Lonchura striata: one gene and its partner. The protein of the gene in region 1 interacts with the protein of each later gene in a pairwise test. Links are inferred from orthologs where the notes say so. Each region holds a gene or a part of one and is shown on either strand. Other genes may lie near its edges.

Region 1 (7,291 bases):
ATCATTACCTACAACCCTGGTGATGGTTTAGTTTTTATTACTGACTTCTCTATTTCTCCCCCTCACCCTCCCTCAAAATTCTGCTGCTCAAAATGTCTGCACTCACAGCTTCCTCATTTCTGCAGGTCCTCCCCTGCCATGTGCAGCACATCCCAGTACCACCAGCATTACTGGGAGCTCCAGCCATGCCTCACTACTCCGAGCTTCCAGCAATGAGACTGACCTACAGTCAACATGATACAAATGAAGGTATTACAGCACATATATATCAATATATAGGTCTGTCCAAGACCCTAAGGAACTTTGGGACTCATTTCAATCAGCATGCCTTTGAGTTACATTTGAAAATTACACCAACATTGCCAAGATTAAGTCTTAGAGAAAAAGGCAGTCTGGGCTTTTTCAGCTTTATTTGTAATTGCTCTTACATTACCAACTTACCAGGAAATTGCACAACACCACACCAACACAGGTGCAAGTCCTTTAGTGGTAAGAAAGCTGCTGGAGATCACCAGACTCAGGAATTTTCATTGACTACGTGGTGTACACCTGCTCTGAGTTAGACATTGCAATGCTACAGTGGCAGAAGCTGTTGCAGAGACACACACTGCCCTCATCAGCCTCATGATCCCTCATGAACGCTGGGCTCAAGTGCTGGCAGATGGTGTTACAGAACAGAGATTTTACTTGCTTGAGAAGGTGAACTGCAAAGCCAAACTCAGAAATTTCTCTGCCTAACGAGGAGGTTGCAATTAGGTCATTGCTGAGCGCTGGGTAACCACAGATCAGAACAAAAACATTCCCACAGAATAACTCAGATGTGACAGCAGGTACTTGGAATGAGAACAAGGACTTCATCCACGTAGTCCTGCTGCTGAATTATGTGGATAAACAGTGATCCTGATGTAGCCAGCCCTCAGCAGCACACGCAGGTGTCGGGACACACAGACCCAGCTTAGCACAAGCAAACAAAATTCCCAAACAGGAAAGCCCATGTCCAACTTTGATGAAACTTGACAAAGAGCTCAGAGCAAGTTTCAGGTCAGAATTCTATTTAGGATGTAGATAAACTGGATCCAGGCCATAACCTTTTTCTATATCTTCTAGACTCCAGTTTGAGCAATGCTCTTATTTCTGAACCCTATTTCTACTAAAATACTCCATCAGTTCTATGCCCAACCCTGCTCAGCTCAGGCTGGATATTTTGGTGAACACAAGACCTTTGCTTGAACACCAGGGAGCTTCAATAGAACACTCTCCAGGCTGCTTTTGGTCACTGAGACTCCCTCCCTTGGATCCTGCACATGGAATTACCTGTCCTTGGGGCAGACAGGTCAGGAGAGGGGAGATTTGTGGGTTAATGGGATACTGTTCTGATCAGGGAGATTAGGTTACAAGGCCATGCCTTGTAACACACTGCCTTCTTCAGTGTGGCACTTCAGTTTACAACTGGGGATTTCTCCTTTCTTAGACTGAACTTTTAATTATTTATGGGCCTATATTATATGCAGAAGCTGCCCAAAACCTAAGCCTTAATAAGGATAATCAGAATAATCATATTTTTCCCTCTTTTGTAAAGCACCTTGAGCCTTGCTGATGAGAAATGCTAGGATGTGATTAGATGCTTAATGAAAAATTATCATTAGAAAGTGGAATAAAACCGAAAAATTAACTAAAATGGAATTTTCTATTTTATACTGCATTGGGGCTGAGAAAATCATTTATCAGAGGCAATGCTGAAAATTTTAACTTGAAAACTGAGTGGAGATCTTCTTTATGCATGCTATGATGGGAGAGGGCAGGTGAGGATGCCAGAGTCGGGGCCTGGGTGTTGTGAGAAGTCTGAACAGTCCCCAGGAGCCTGAAATTTGGGAGTGCTGGGCTGTGCCACCATGTGCAGCCAGCCCTTGGCTGGTGCCAGCACCGAGACCAGCAGCTGGTGTTCAGCATCACCCCAACTCCTGTGTCCACCACAGCTCCTCCACAGTGACCATTTGGCTTCCCAGCCCTCACCCTGCCCAAAAAGTATCCGGGAACGGAGACGATGGGGTTTGAGCTGCTCAGACCATGCGGTGGAAGTCACGGTGAATATTTATGGCCCTGCCTCACTCTGTGAATGAAATGCACAATAACCGCAGCAGCGGAACGGCCGAACCAAGGCACGCATGCAAGCTTTTAACCCTTTGGGGATTATCACCCTCCAAATTCTCTCTCTCGAAGATCAAAGCGGGAGGATTTGGAGACGCTTCTGTTAAATTCGGAGCCGGGGCAGGTGCGGGCGAGCTCCTGCAGGTGGCTGGGGCCGGCGGGAGGAGAAGGCAGAGCAGGGACCATCCCTGGCGGCTGGGGCAGAGCCTGCGGCCAAAGAACACCCCGGCAGCACCTGGAGCTGACAAAGGAGCCGGGCAGGGGAGCAGGGCCGGCTCCCACCCACACAGCCCCGGCAGCCCCCGAGCCGCCCCACGCCCAGCCCTCCCCGCAGCCACCAACAGCGCCGGGGAAGGAGGAGATGCCCGTGAGGGAACACCCGGCAGCCCTGCCCCGCCTCGGGGGCCCGTTCGGGCGGTGCCCGAGGGGACAGCGCCGGCCTTTCCCGCGCCCTCACCGCGCCTCGCCCTTACCCCGCGGGCGCCGGGCCCCGCGGCCGCCCGCACATCCATGGCGGCCGCGCCACGCCGGGCAGCTCCGGCCAGGGCCCCGCCGGTGCCGCGGGCAACTTTCAGCAGGCGGCTGCAACTACGGCGCCCGGCATCCCCCGGCGGGCCGGCGAGCGGTGCCGGCCGGGAGCTGTAGTTCCGCACGGGCGGGGGAGCCGGGCAGCCGCCTCGGCCCGGGGGAATCGCGGCTCCAGCGGGGCTGGGAAAGACCCTGAGAGCAGCGAGCCCAGCCTGTGAGAGCCCCACCTGGTCAGAGCGCTGGGTGCCACGTCCGGCCGTCCCCTGGAGAGCGCCAGGGATGGGGAGCTCGCCTCCCTGAGCAGCGCTTTCCAATGTTTAACGACCTTTTCCGTGACGAAATTCTTCCCGATATCCAACCTGAACCTCCCATGCTCTATCACTGCTTGCTTGGGAGCAGAGGACGACACACACCCTCCTGTCAGGAGCTGTTCAGAGCCACAAGGTCCCCCCTGAGCCTCCTTTTCTCCAGGCTGAGCCCCTTCCCAGCTCCCTCAGCCTCTGCTGGTGCTCCAGCCCCTTCCCAGCTCCATTCCCTTCCCTGGACATGCTCCAGCCCCTCCAGGTCCTTTCTTAAGTGAAAGGCCCAGACTGCCCCCAGCACTGGAGTGGCCTCACCAGTGCCCAGCCAGGGGACAGTCACTGTCCTGGTCCTGCTGGCCACACCATGGCTGGGACGGGCCAGGTGCCATTGACCTCTTGCCCACCTGGCACGCCTGGCTCCTGTTGAGCTGATGATGGCCAGCACCCCCAGGGCCTTTCCCACCAGGCAATTTCCACTTCCCAGTCTGCAGTGTTCCATGGGGTTGGTGTGTCCAAAGGATTTAAGTTCTTTACTTTTAATTTCACCTGGCTCTTAGTATCAGCCCCTTAAACCTGCTGTATGTATTAACTTCATTACATCATGGGCTTTCTGCAACAGCTTTGCTTCTAATCTTTCTTCCACAATGTTTCCGACAGGGATGATTTCTTGCCCCAGAAACTCTCAATAAAAGCAAGAAAAATGTAAAAGCTGACCTATCAAAGAAGTATTAGCAGGCAAAACTTAAAAGAAAGGCCCTGGAAAATCTGTCACTGAAATACTCAGCTGCTGGCCATCAAGTGTTCAGCTCATATGGTCTCATGTTTATGTGTTTCATCCATTTTTATTTACAATTTATTTTTATTTAAAGCTGAGTATCTCTCTGGCCCTACCGTGCCATGGTTCCTGTGTTGAACACAACAGTGCACAGAACAAGCCGTGTGGAAACAAAAGGATATTTTAGAGATGTAAGCAGGGAACATCCAAAGTCAGGTGGAAAAATGGTTTTAAGCAGAGACATCTGTGTGTACAGAGCATCATTACTGCTTGCTGTATTTAACTACAGATAGCTTTGTTTTGTTGCTTTTGATGGAGAGAGAAAAAAGCCAGCAGAAGTAGTGGCCACACACCAATCTTCCACAGTAAACACCCAGAAAGGAGGGCTGGGGGGAAAGTCTGTTATTGCTCCATGGGAGTCTAGCAGCACAGGGGCACAAGAGTGACACAAAAATGGGCTGTGCTGTCACGAGGTCTTGTTTTCCAGAGCCAGACAACGAGGATCTGTTACAAGACATGGTGGAATGTTTGTTTTTGTAGTACTGGATTTCCAAAATCCATGGTCTTTTTGTGGCTGACAAGCCCCCTCCTTTCTTTGCCACGTTCCTGCAGCTGTCGGAGGTCTGCACCCCTGCCTGGAAAACATGAGCACAGCACAGCAAAAATGTGCATCATTCATGTGCCATCAGACAATGCTTGGGAGAGTTACAAAGGAGGGGAGGAAGAGGAGAAGGAGACCACAGTGCTGCAGTAATTTGCATTGTTTCTACTTTGTTTGCAACAGTCACTTTTAGCTTTAAACTCTAATAGCTATAGATTTCATAGCAGCTTTACCACACTTCAGCATTATTGGATTTTAATTCACACCCCCCACCATGACCAGGTAAAATTTGGCAGCATATCTGGTCTAACACATACATGTTTGGGTAATATTTCATATATAGAAATTAACTGAAAAGTAGAATCTGTGTTGTGACCTGCTGCGTACCTCATGGACTCCCTCTGTGGTTCATCCTTAATACTTTGTGCTGTGCAGAACCTCCTGGGAGCACCACTGCTGGGATTTCACTGGGAATCAGACCAGGCCATGGCTGCCCCACACCACTCACTTTTCCTGGACCCACCAGCAGTTCAGCTGGAGCAGTGCCTCTCCTCAGAGCAGAGCTGTGACTGCTGCCATAAGCCAAAGCCAAGGCCAGGCTGAGGCTGGAGAAGTCCCAGGTTTGGTTCTGTGCTCACATTTGGGCCCTGCAGCCAGCACAGGGCAGCCTACAGCTCCAGGCACTGGAACAACCTTGCTGGGCCTTCACTGACAGCATCTGCAATTCTGCCACGTGCTGAAGGCACACACAAACCTCAAGTGTTTGTGCAGATTTACCATTCTACTTTCAGTGCTTTTAGGACCACAAACTGGAACAAAGGCACAATGCAATTGTCAGGGACTTCATTTTTACCTGTCTCAGTCTTCAAAATTCCCCCTGTATTGACATGAAATATAGTAGTTGCCCACTATGAAGCAAGTTCTCCAGATGATAAGCAGTTCAACTTGCATTTTTGTTACTTTACTTGCACATTCAAAATTTCATCTTACTTTATTATGAGGGGCATTGAAGTTTTAACACCCAGCACATCTGTGGCAATTTACTTCCTTACCAATGAAGTTCACTTTGATGATGACTTGGTGCTTATAATGACCACTGGACAACCACAAAATGAGATTTAGAAATACTATAATTAGAGCAAATAGGAAAAATAGCTCAGATTCCAGATGCTAGAAGATATTTTAATGAAGTCCATTCTAAAAATCTGAAATAAGGACAACATACAAACTGGGAGCACTTGAAATATGTTTATTCAGCAGCTATTACAACCAACCTCCAAAAAACTGGAGTCCCCTCTGGTTTTTGAACCGTGTCAAGTGATGAAAATGCCTCTAGGATGGAAGCTGGACAGTGCACTCCTTTCTGAGATATACATCTAACAGGGATTAAACTCTTTGAAAAGGCAAAATATAAATATATACACTCTAAATTCACAACAACAGCTTGAACTCACTACGTTAATTCAAGTGGGGTAACAGTGGACAAACCCACATCATGTAAACTGCAGTCAGGAAAATCTCTGCTCTCTCTGCTCCAAGGTCCCGTTCCGGTTTACATTCTGGGATCTGCCTCTGGCAGAGCTGGAATACGGAAGCGCTGAAGTGCTGGATCTCAGGGGCTGTGCACGGGACCGGGCGTGGGGCTCTGCTCTCTACACATTGCTCAAGGCATCCACACCAGGGAGAACCTTACCTGGGGGCAGATAAAACACAGCAGCAGGGTTAAGGATCTCTGCTCAAACAACTTTACATTTAAAGAGATATAATTTTAAAAAGTGAATCAGGAATTACAGGTTGAAAATGGAAGAGTTTGGCTTCACATTGACCATGGAGGTTCCATGGACCAGCTCCACACAATAAATCCATCTGGAGCACAGCTGCACTCAGATGTCAGCAGAGAGATTCCTAACACAGCCCAGCCATCAACTTCATTTAACAATAATGGCACATTTCTGTGCAAGTCTCTGCTAGGGCCAGATCCAAACACCAAACATTCTTTTCCATTAAGTTTGATGGCAAACAGATTTTTGATTTGATTTAGCCAGTTGCTGCATACTTTCTTAAGTCCCTAGTGGCATGTAAATAGAATTCTAGGGAGTGTGGTAGAAATTTTAAGAATTAATTAAGAGAAAAAGTCTCCTAAGAGTCCCAGGTCTTTAAACAACTAAAACACTCAGGTTGAGACATTTACATGTCTCTTTCCAACTGATGGAATCAAAGAATAGTCTCATCTTTGAGTACAAGAGCCTAGATTAATACAGTGCAACATTTTCTAAAGCATTTTCAGTGTTTTGTCCTACTTTAATAATGAACAGACACCACTCTGGTTTTGCCTTTCCTCAGAAAAACAACCTTCTAATGCTCAAGCTGTGCAGCAGGACTGAATTTTAACACTGTTCACAACTCACTAGTTTGCTGAGTTTTCAGGGATTTTCCCCCCTTTCTTCATCTTCAGAAGCTTTTCTAATTAGCCAGACTTCCGCTACATTTAAAAGATCACACACACAAACCCATATTTTGGGCCAAAACTTAGACAAGTTTGTGCTTTTGAATACACAGCGTTTCCTTCGAGCCATCTGCATTCTTTCCCTTCCCCATCACTCCCTAGGCAACAGAAACAAAAGCTCTGTCTCCCATCTTACTCCTGCAAACAGCAGCTGCAAGGCAGTTTATTGAAGTTCCTCCTCTCCAGAGGAGTTGACAGCGTTGGATAATTTACACACACTGGGAAACGGCAAATTACCAGAGGAAATGAAAAGTCGTTTAGAGAACAATGGAACTCGTTACAAGAATCCCTTCAATCCTCACCATTTTGAATTCCAAGTACCCTCGTGCAGGCTTGTCGGTGAGCACTAGAGGGCTCCCCAAAACCAAGGGAATTGCAAACGGGAAGAAGAGACTTCTGGCAAGAATTCCAGACTGTTCTGATGAGGCTTC
Region 2 (7,645 bases), on another chromosome or scaffold:
TTGAACACAGAAAACTCATCCCACCTATAATCTAAGGGAAGGAGGGAAGGTAGAAAAGGATTTTACCTGAGCTGACCTTGTCGATCCAGAAAATCCTGCTTAGGTAAAACCACACCTGGGCTGGAGTGGACCACAACTGGCAAGCGATATTCCAGATAAGCTGTCTTCAGCCACCAGTCTGAGAGCTGGGATGGAAAAAAGAAAACAGAGAGCTGTTGCTGCTGTCCAACCCAATTCTGGTGGATGGGTCTCAGCATCCTGCCCCCAGTTCTGTCCCACACTTTTCAAACAAAGTGTCTGGGGTTTCTACTATGCAGGTAGAAGGGGAAAGGAGGATTTAAGCAAGGCATGGGTGGCTTTTGGTACAGGGCTTGAGCAGAGGGTCTCCTTCAACCCTCTGCTCAGCTTCTTGGGGCAGTTGTAGGATGATGACAGGTTCAAGCCTTCAGTGACTCCCTGTTCTGCCATAATCTCTCTGCTCACCCAAGTCCTGCTGAGGCCTTTGCACAGCTTGGGGAGATCAGTGGCGAACTGGTCAGGAAGGTGTTGTCATTAAAACACAGATTCCAGTGGATGCAGCCAGGACAGGGAAGAGATGCATATCAGCCCTCCACTCTCCCTAACCTGAGCTGGGGCCAGAGCCCTGACCTACCCAGTTCTCTGTTTTCCTGGCTCTTCTCTCCAGGCCTTTCTGCAGCCTCTCCCCGACGCCCCCCGGCTTGCGGAACTCGGCCACCAGCTCCCGCGTGTGGCTCAGCTCCTCGGGGCTGATGATGGGCTGCAGGGCCAGCAGGTACCGATCCAGTGTCTGCTGCAGTGGAGGCACGGGCAGGGGGGGCAGCGCTTCCTGGTGGAGCTGGAATCTGCCCACAACCTTGTTCAGAGGTGTCTGCTTCAGCAGGCCACAGGGCCTGGCCTGCAAAGCACAGAGCAAATGTCGAGACAAAACATCCCCCAAGTAGCAAAGAACCTGGATCTAGGAGTTGCCATCCCAGCCTTTCTGTGGGCACATGGGTGTCCCAGCCTGGGAGCAGAGCACGGCTGTGCGCTGAAGAAGGGTGCAGGACATCCAGGAAAGCTGTGAAAGAGAAACTCCATCTCCAAGATACCTATTCTTAGCTTCTCAGAGAAAATGCTGCTGGGATAATGACACATCTCCCCACTCTGTGAACACCTTTCAGCTGAGAGTTTCCATACGATAGACAAAGTCAAACCCTTCCATCCCATGGTAAATGGGAAGAAAGTTGTGAAAAAAAAAACCATCTTATGTACTATCAGAAACTTTCATTATTTCTTACAAAATCATAAGGCTAAAAAGCAAAACCCTTGTGCCAAACCAAACTACCCTTCTGGCTTTGAGGAGGCAGAATTTAGCTAAGTTTAGGGTAGGATTAAAATGCCTTTTCTCTGTTGATTCAGGAAACTGTGGGTGATGCCAAAAGGCTCCTGTGATCCAACTGGGTCATGTGGGAGCAGAAGCACAAACCACTTCCCTGGCTGGAGAAATATAACCGAGCAAACCCAAGTGCTCACCAGGAAATTAACTCACCAGTTTTCCCCAAAAAGAATAACAACATCCTTTTGGATGAACGGGGTTGGACATTCTTCAGCTTGAAGATGTTTCAGTAGTACTCAAGGTTTCCAGTTCCCTCTGCACCTCCCTCTCCCGTGGATCTACTGAATCAGACACTCCTGCAGGACTCTGGACTTTGCATTGTCAGTGCACTGAGAATGCAAAGCCACTGAGAACATTCCCTTTGCCTTCCAAAGCGGTGAGAAAATAGCTGTCCCCACACCTCCTCCCAGCAGTTAAGGACTGAGAAGAAACAGCTCAATCTACAAGATGACAAAGGCCCGCCAGAAACTGCCCTGTTTTTGAGCAGCTGGGTCTTTGTGGGACCTGAGAAGAGCTGTGAGACTGAGGTTTGGAAAAAAACAGCAGGGGGAGGAATTACTGAAGCATAAAAGAAGAATGGGACTGCGAGGAAAAGAAAGGTGTTGATCACAGCAGCTTGGGCATACTGTACCTTCTCTGCTTGCTTCTGCTTCCTATCCATGGCTGGTAGGACAGAAAAGGCCGTAAAGCTCTCCCTCGGCCTCTCTTGGGTCTCCTCTTCCACCTGACAATGTGCTGCCCATGCAGGGCGTCACCTCATTAGCCAACTACCACATGACTGCTCTGATCAGAGGGCTCAAGGGCTGGCACAGCCGCAGGGGACAGGAATTATCAGATCACTGGATTTCGACAACTGCCCTGAAGGTGCTCCTCTGGGCAGCTGATCAATACCTGGCTAGAGCCCCTCTCTGACCAAGCTCTGGGCTCCAGCTAGGGCAGAAGTTGGGATGCTGTTCCTTCACCCTTTGTCTGGACCCCGAAACTACTGTGGCTGTTGGGAGAGATACCTGGACATAATGCAGGAGAGACCTCAGTTTATGTCCTGGAGGTGGCACCATGGGCAGTACCCCAACTGCCCTCACTGCCCATGATATGTGGTCATTATTGCAAGCTGAGACTTCGGGGAGTTCTGAGTTGTCAACTCAAAAAAGCCCCAAAAAATATCTCTACAGCAGGGCAATGAGAATGCCATGCAGTCACAAGGAATATCAACACCTCCTTCGTGTCTGTCTAATGAATTGAGGGGCAGACAAGCACGGCTTGCATAGCTTGGATAGAGTATGATGATCCCAAACAAACAGCTGATTTTCCATGGGGTAACAATGAAAATCCCAAAACAAACTCATGGAAGCCACTGTATGTTAAAATGTGGAATGCATTTGTTATCTTCCCTCTTTTCTGTCCCCTGTTTGTTTGGTTTGGGGTTAAATTCAAAGATTTGGTGGGAGAAGGAACAGTGATCAGAGCTGAGGGGGCAGCTGGCAGCAAACAGAGGGAACAGCCCAACACTCCCCACAAGCAGCAGGAAAACGAACACCAGTGGAGCAGAGTGTGCAGACAGGGCCAGCCTCTGGGCTGGCATCACTGCTGAGCCATGTTCCAACACAGCAAAGAACCTTTTCCAGAGCCTGCAAAGCTGGTGGGAAAGGAAATCCACCTGCTGGGGGGCAGAAGGAATTTCCTAGCTGATTCTTAGCACAGCCACAGAATTGAGTAGCAGGATGTCAGAGGTTTGTCTTTTATTTTTAAATTACAATCTGGAGTGCCCCTTAAGCCCAGAGACAACTGGTCTTGCCCAGTCCCTCAGTAACTGTGAGTGGATCCACACTGTAGCTGCTGTTCTGCTGCTCTGTCTCCTCCTCTCAGGACCCAGAAGAGACTGCAAAGAGCAGCTCCCAAGCCTGGCAGGGGTCTGACAGCTCTGCTGTGTGTGCAGCAGGATGGGTACGGTGGGAACCACCGATGCCATCTGCCTGGGCTTCCCTGGCCCCTCCATGTCCAGCAGCCACCTTCCTGCTGTCCAGCCCCAACTGGACAGCTCAGTACAAGACAAGGCACTGTGGAGAGGGTCCAGAGGAGGACATAAAGATAATTAAGGGACTTGAGTATCTCTTATGTGAGGCGAGTGAGAGACTGTGAGTTCATCCTGTTTAATCTGATGAAGAGGAGGCTGACAGGGAATCTGAACAATCCATATAAATATCATCGAGGTGGGCGTCAAGAGGGTGGTGCCAGACTCTCTTCAGTGGTGTGCAGTGACAGGAGGGGAAGTATAAACTAAAACACAAGAAGTCTGCCCTCAACATGAGGAGTAAGTTTTTTACACTGAGGATGGCAGAGCACCGTGCCCAGCGATGGTGTGGAGTTTGTCTCGTTTGGAACGTCTCTCTCTGGAGGCATTCCAAACCCACCTGGACACGTTCCTGGGTCATCTGCCCCAGGTGACCCTGCGTTGGCAGGGGCGCTGGACAGGGTAATGGGACAGGGCAATGTCCAGAGAACCCTGACAGTTCTGGGGCTGTCATCTCCGTCCCGGACAGCTCCACCGCGCACGCTGCCGCCAGGCACGGGCGGAACCCAGCGGGCCTGGGGACTGACTTCGGCAGGTCCCTGCCCGCTCCCCGCACGGCCCTGGCCGGGACCCGGGCCTGTGCTCCGGGCTGGGGCCGGACCGGGCAGCGGCACCGCCGAGACCGCCAGCGCTGCCCCGCTAAAGGCCCCGCGCGGAGCCGGGCTCGCCGCCCGCCCGCTCTCGACCCTGCCCGATGTAGCGACCCTCGACCGCCACCTCGCTCCCCGTCTCCGGCCGGTGCTGGCGGAGCCGCCCCTCCCGGTGTCGCTCTTACCGCAGCCCTGGCCACCAAGGCGAGCATGGCCGCGCTCCCCGGGCCCACCGCAAGGACAGCCCGGCCGCCGCCGCCGCCGCTCCGGGGCGGGGCCGCCCCGCCGCCATCTTGGAGTGGGGCGAATCCCGCGTGGCCATCTTTGGGAAAGGCAGAGTGATGCTTTGAGCGGAAGGAGCGCCGCGGCCGGCGGCGGAGCCGTGCCGCGCCCCCTTTCTCCGCTGCCTTCTCCCAGAGATGGTGAGGGCGGTCCTGTCTCTCTCCCCTCCGCTGCCCTCCGCGCACACCGGTCCCTCTCCGGTGTGGGCAGGGAGGGACGCGCCCTACACAAACATGGCGGCGTGAGCACGACGGTGGCCGGCAGGGGCCGCTCAGCCGTGAGACGGCCCCAGGAACGACAGGGCCGGGCGGCGTGCCCTGCTCAAAGATGGCCGCCGGCGGCTTCGGCGTGCGCGGAGGTGGGAGGTGAGGGGCGGCCGGGCCGGGCTGCGGGAAGATGGCAGAGAGCGAGCGGCGGACAGGTGAGGGGCGGCCAGGGGGGCTCTGGGAACCCTCAGGGCCTCTCAGGGGCGTGCTCGGGGCCGGGGAGCGCGGTACAGGGCCCCACGCTCCGGGGGTGCTGGGCCGAGGGCGCCGGGCCCGCGTTGCGGGGGGCGGTGGCAGCAGCGCCCGGCCCAGGGAGGGGAGGGAGGGGGATTTGCTGAGGGTGTGAAGGACCTGCGGCCTCCGAGTCTTGGCACCACCCCGGGGCGAGGTTGGTGGTCGGGGCTGAGCCTCTGGATCGGGGATCCCTGTGCCCCCAGCCCGGTTTTGTGACTGGTTCTCGTGCAAAGCCTTTGACTCCCCCTCCTCACACCGTGACACGAGCCTGATAGTGCCCCCTCAGTCCAAAGTGCTTCTTGTCGTAAAGCTGACCCGCCAGGCTCCCGTCTCCATCACACTAACAGGCTTGGACTCTGTGTATTCATCCCAGAATGCTGTAACCCCTGCAGCCCTCACTGTTTCCTTCCCGGAGTATTCCTGGTCTCCTCACCAAGAGGAATTGCACAAAGTTTGGGTCAGAAGCAGTGATGGCTGAGAAACAAAGAGAGGAAAGCAGTTCTGTTAATGGCAAACACCCACATCAGGACACTGCCCTGGGATTTATGTGTCACCTGTACTGATGAACACATCAGGGGTTTGCCTTTTCACTTCATTGCTTGGGAGGTTTTCATTGTTTTCATGTTATAAACTCTTAAGAGCAGAGCTCCATTGGTGTGGTGCCAGTTGCTGTGAGTTGTGTGCTGAAAAGAAGAGATACACACGTCTTTAATTTAAATTCATCACACGTTGTTCCTCTCATCCTCCTACCTGGAAGTTTTGCTGTAAGTTCTGCAGCAATGAACTGAGCATTGCAATATTCAGGGCAGGAGATGAGGCTGAATTTGTTCATGGCATGGGGAATGTGAAAGGCAGAGTCAAATGACTGTCAAAGGTTGTATGACAAATCTACAGCGGACTCTGTGTTGTTCCTGGGACTTTGGTTTCCTTTTAATCTGATCTGCCTGCTAGAGAGCATTGTGGAAAAGGCTGCCACTGCTTCTGGGTGGTGTTTTCTATGTAAATGCAGCTGATGATATTTTAAGGAGTTGGTGTTTGGTGGTGTTTGTTAGGGAGACAGTGCCTGTACTGGCTGGGCTGTGGACAGCAGTTGCTGGAGTGTTTCAGGGCAGCTGGTGCTGCATAAGTGTCTCCAGATTTTCTGAGTTGAAAAAGGTGAACTGAGTGACTCTGACAGAATTAATAAATTGACATTAGTGCCCAGGTTCCTTGACAGTGCCCTCTGCATTTCCTCTTCCTATTAAAAGTTGCACTTTCAGGAGCATAATACAAATTACTTTAAATCTCCTGGAACTTTTCTGGTTCTGCAGGTTGGGCCCTGGGTTTGGATGCTGCAGAAAAGAGCCCCTCTAATTCATTAGCAACTCACATTTACATTAAATATTGCATCTTAGGCTCTGAAAGGGCTTTGAAATTAAATGATCTTCACAGCTTTCACCTGGAAGAGGCTGTGTCCCACCATCCCCCAAGTCCAGGTGCTACATGGACCAGAGCTGTGGTTCTGGGCTGCATTTATTGCACTGCTCCAGCTTGTCCATGCAGGAATTATCCTTTCTAGAGGAATGAAGGTCAGGCTTAACACTTAAAAACAAGGCAGGGTTAGTTTGAAGGAGAGTTCAGTGTTTCGGCGTGACCTGAGGCTTGCACTAGACAGAAATAATTAAACTGGCTAGATGTTGCTTTTGTTATCTCCTGCACTATTCTCTGTCTGAATAGAAAATGCATCTTTAACAATAAAAACAGACATAATGCTTCTGTCTGAAGGCTTGCAGAGTCCTTAGGAGGATATTGGTGAGGAGGACTTGGTGAGATTACAGCCCAGCTGGGATGGATTTGTGTGCTTTGTATCTCCTGTGAAATAAAGCTCATTACTAAGAAAGAAAAATAGAGGACTTCTCCTTCCCCAGTGCTGCTGTTTTACCTCTTTTTTTGCATCTCCCAGGCGCCTCTGAGGAGGTGCCTCCTCCTGTCCAGCAATGCTTCATGGTCCCCAAGAAGGAGATAAATGTGGTTTCTGACATGGCCAAGTGGAAGCGATCTCAGGTAAGACTCTGGGGACAGGAAATGCTGGGAAATGCTGCTGATCTTTTGGTGGCAGCCAGGTCTGGTCTGGGAACAGCCAGGGAGTAAAGGAGGCTTGGGCAGAGAATGGGAAATAATTGAAATTTGTGTTTTCAAGAAGAGTTGGTGCTGGTTTGCAGGAAAATTACTTGGCAGTAATGATTACTGCTCCCTCCCAACGAGCTGGATGAGAAGCTGGTGACTGTTTCATCCTGCCTGGCCTGTACTTTATAACCAAACTGGATTTACCCAGGCCTGTCTGAGCTCACCTTAAACATGGTTCTGCTGCCTGGCCCTGGTAGCACCAGCCTGGGTTGGTTCCTTCCCACTGTGCTGTTCTGGAAAGGACTCTAGAGCTGAGCCCTTCAATTTCCTGGATAATTTTTGTTTACAGCCTGTGTGGAGCTGGTGGAACAAGCAGGTTCTCCCCTCTCTGCCTTTGAGGGATTGGGGTGTTGGCCCAGACTTGTCCCTCCTCTTAGGAGCAAATTCTTGCTTGATGACTGATGTGATCTGTCTTGAGAGAAACTGAGGTTATAGCCAGGTGTCAAGCAAACCTCTGGGTGCAGCTTCCAATTTAAGTCTCCTGGGTTTAGGGACTTGATTTTGAGGCAGAGAGGGAGAAGTGGCAGTGTGCTGCTGTGGAGCTGCACTGGAGATGATGCTTCCAAAGCAGCAAATCTAAAGAGAGGAGGAGTGAGGAGCTTGGGCTGTCTCCCTCTTCCCTTGCATGAGCATGGGGGGG

What was found. The genes of interacting proteins can lie anywhere in the genome.
Region 2: the proteins of AMOT (region 1) and PTPA interact in binary tests that used the Homo sapiens proteins (3 or more experiments, as listed by UniProt). The two-hybrid records come from large-scale screens. The link is inferred for Lonchura striata from reciprocal best matches to the Homo sapiens genes AMOT and PTPA.

The regions. Positions count from the first base shown.
Region 1 is NC_134616.1:17,376,555-17,383,845, reverse strand, and holds the start of AMOT (angiomotin), read right to left. Parts: upstream 3,020-7,291; 5' UTR 2,904-3,019; intron 2,734-2,903; exon of another isoform or gene 2,622-2,733; intron 1-2,621. Other genes in the region: PGK1 (phosphoglycerate kinase 1), read right to left, coding at 6,007-6,047.
Region 2 is NC_134624.1:148,573-156,217, reverse strand, and holds the start of PTPA (serine/threonine-protein phosphatase 2A activator), read left to right. Parts: upstream 1-4,635; 5' UTR 4,636-4,735; coding exon 4,736-4,760; intron 4,761-6,781; coding exon 6,782-6,882; intron 6,883-7,645. Other genes in the region: CRAT (carnitine O-acetyltransferase), read right to left, coding at 67-185, 653-916, 2,028-2,057. UniProt on the Homo sapiens protein: PPIases accelerate the folding of proteins. It catalyzes the cis-trans isomerization of proline imidic peptide bonds in oligopeptides. Acts as a regulatory subunit for serine/threonine-protein phosphatase 2A (PP2A).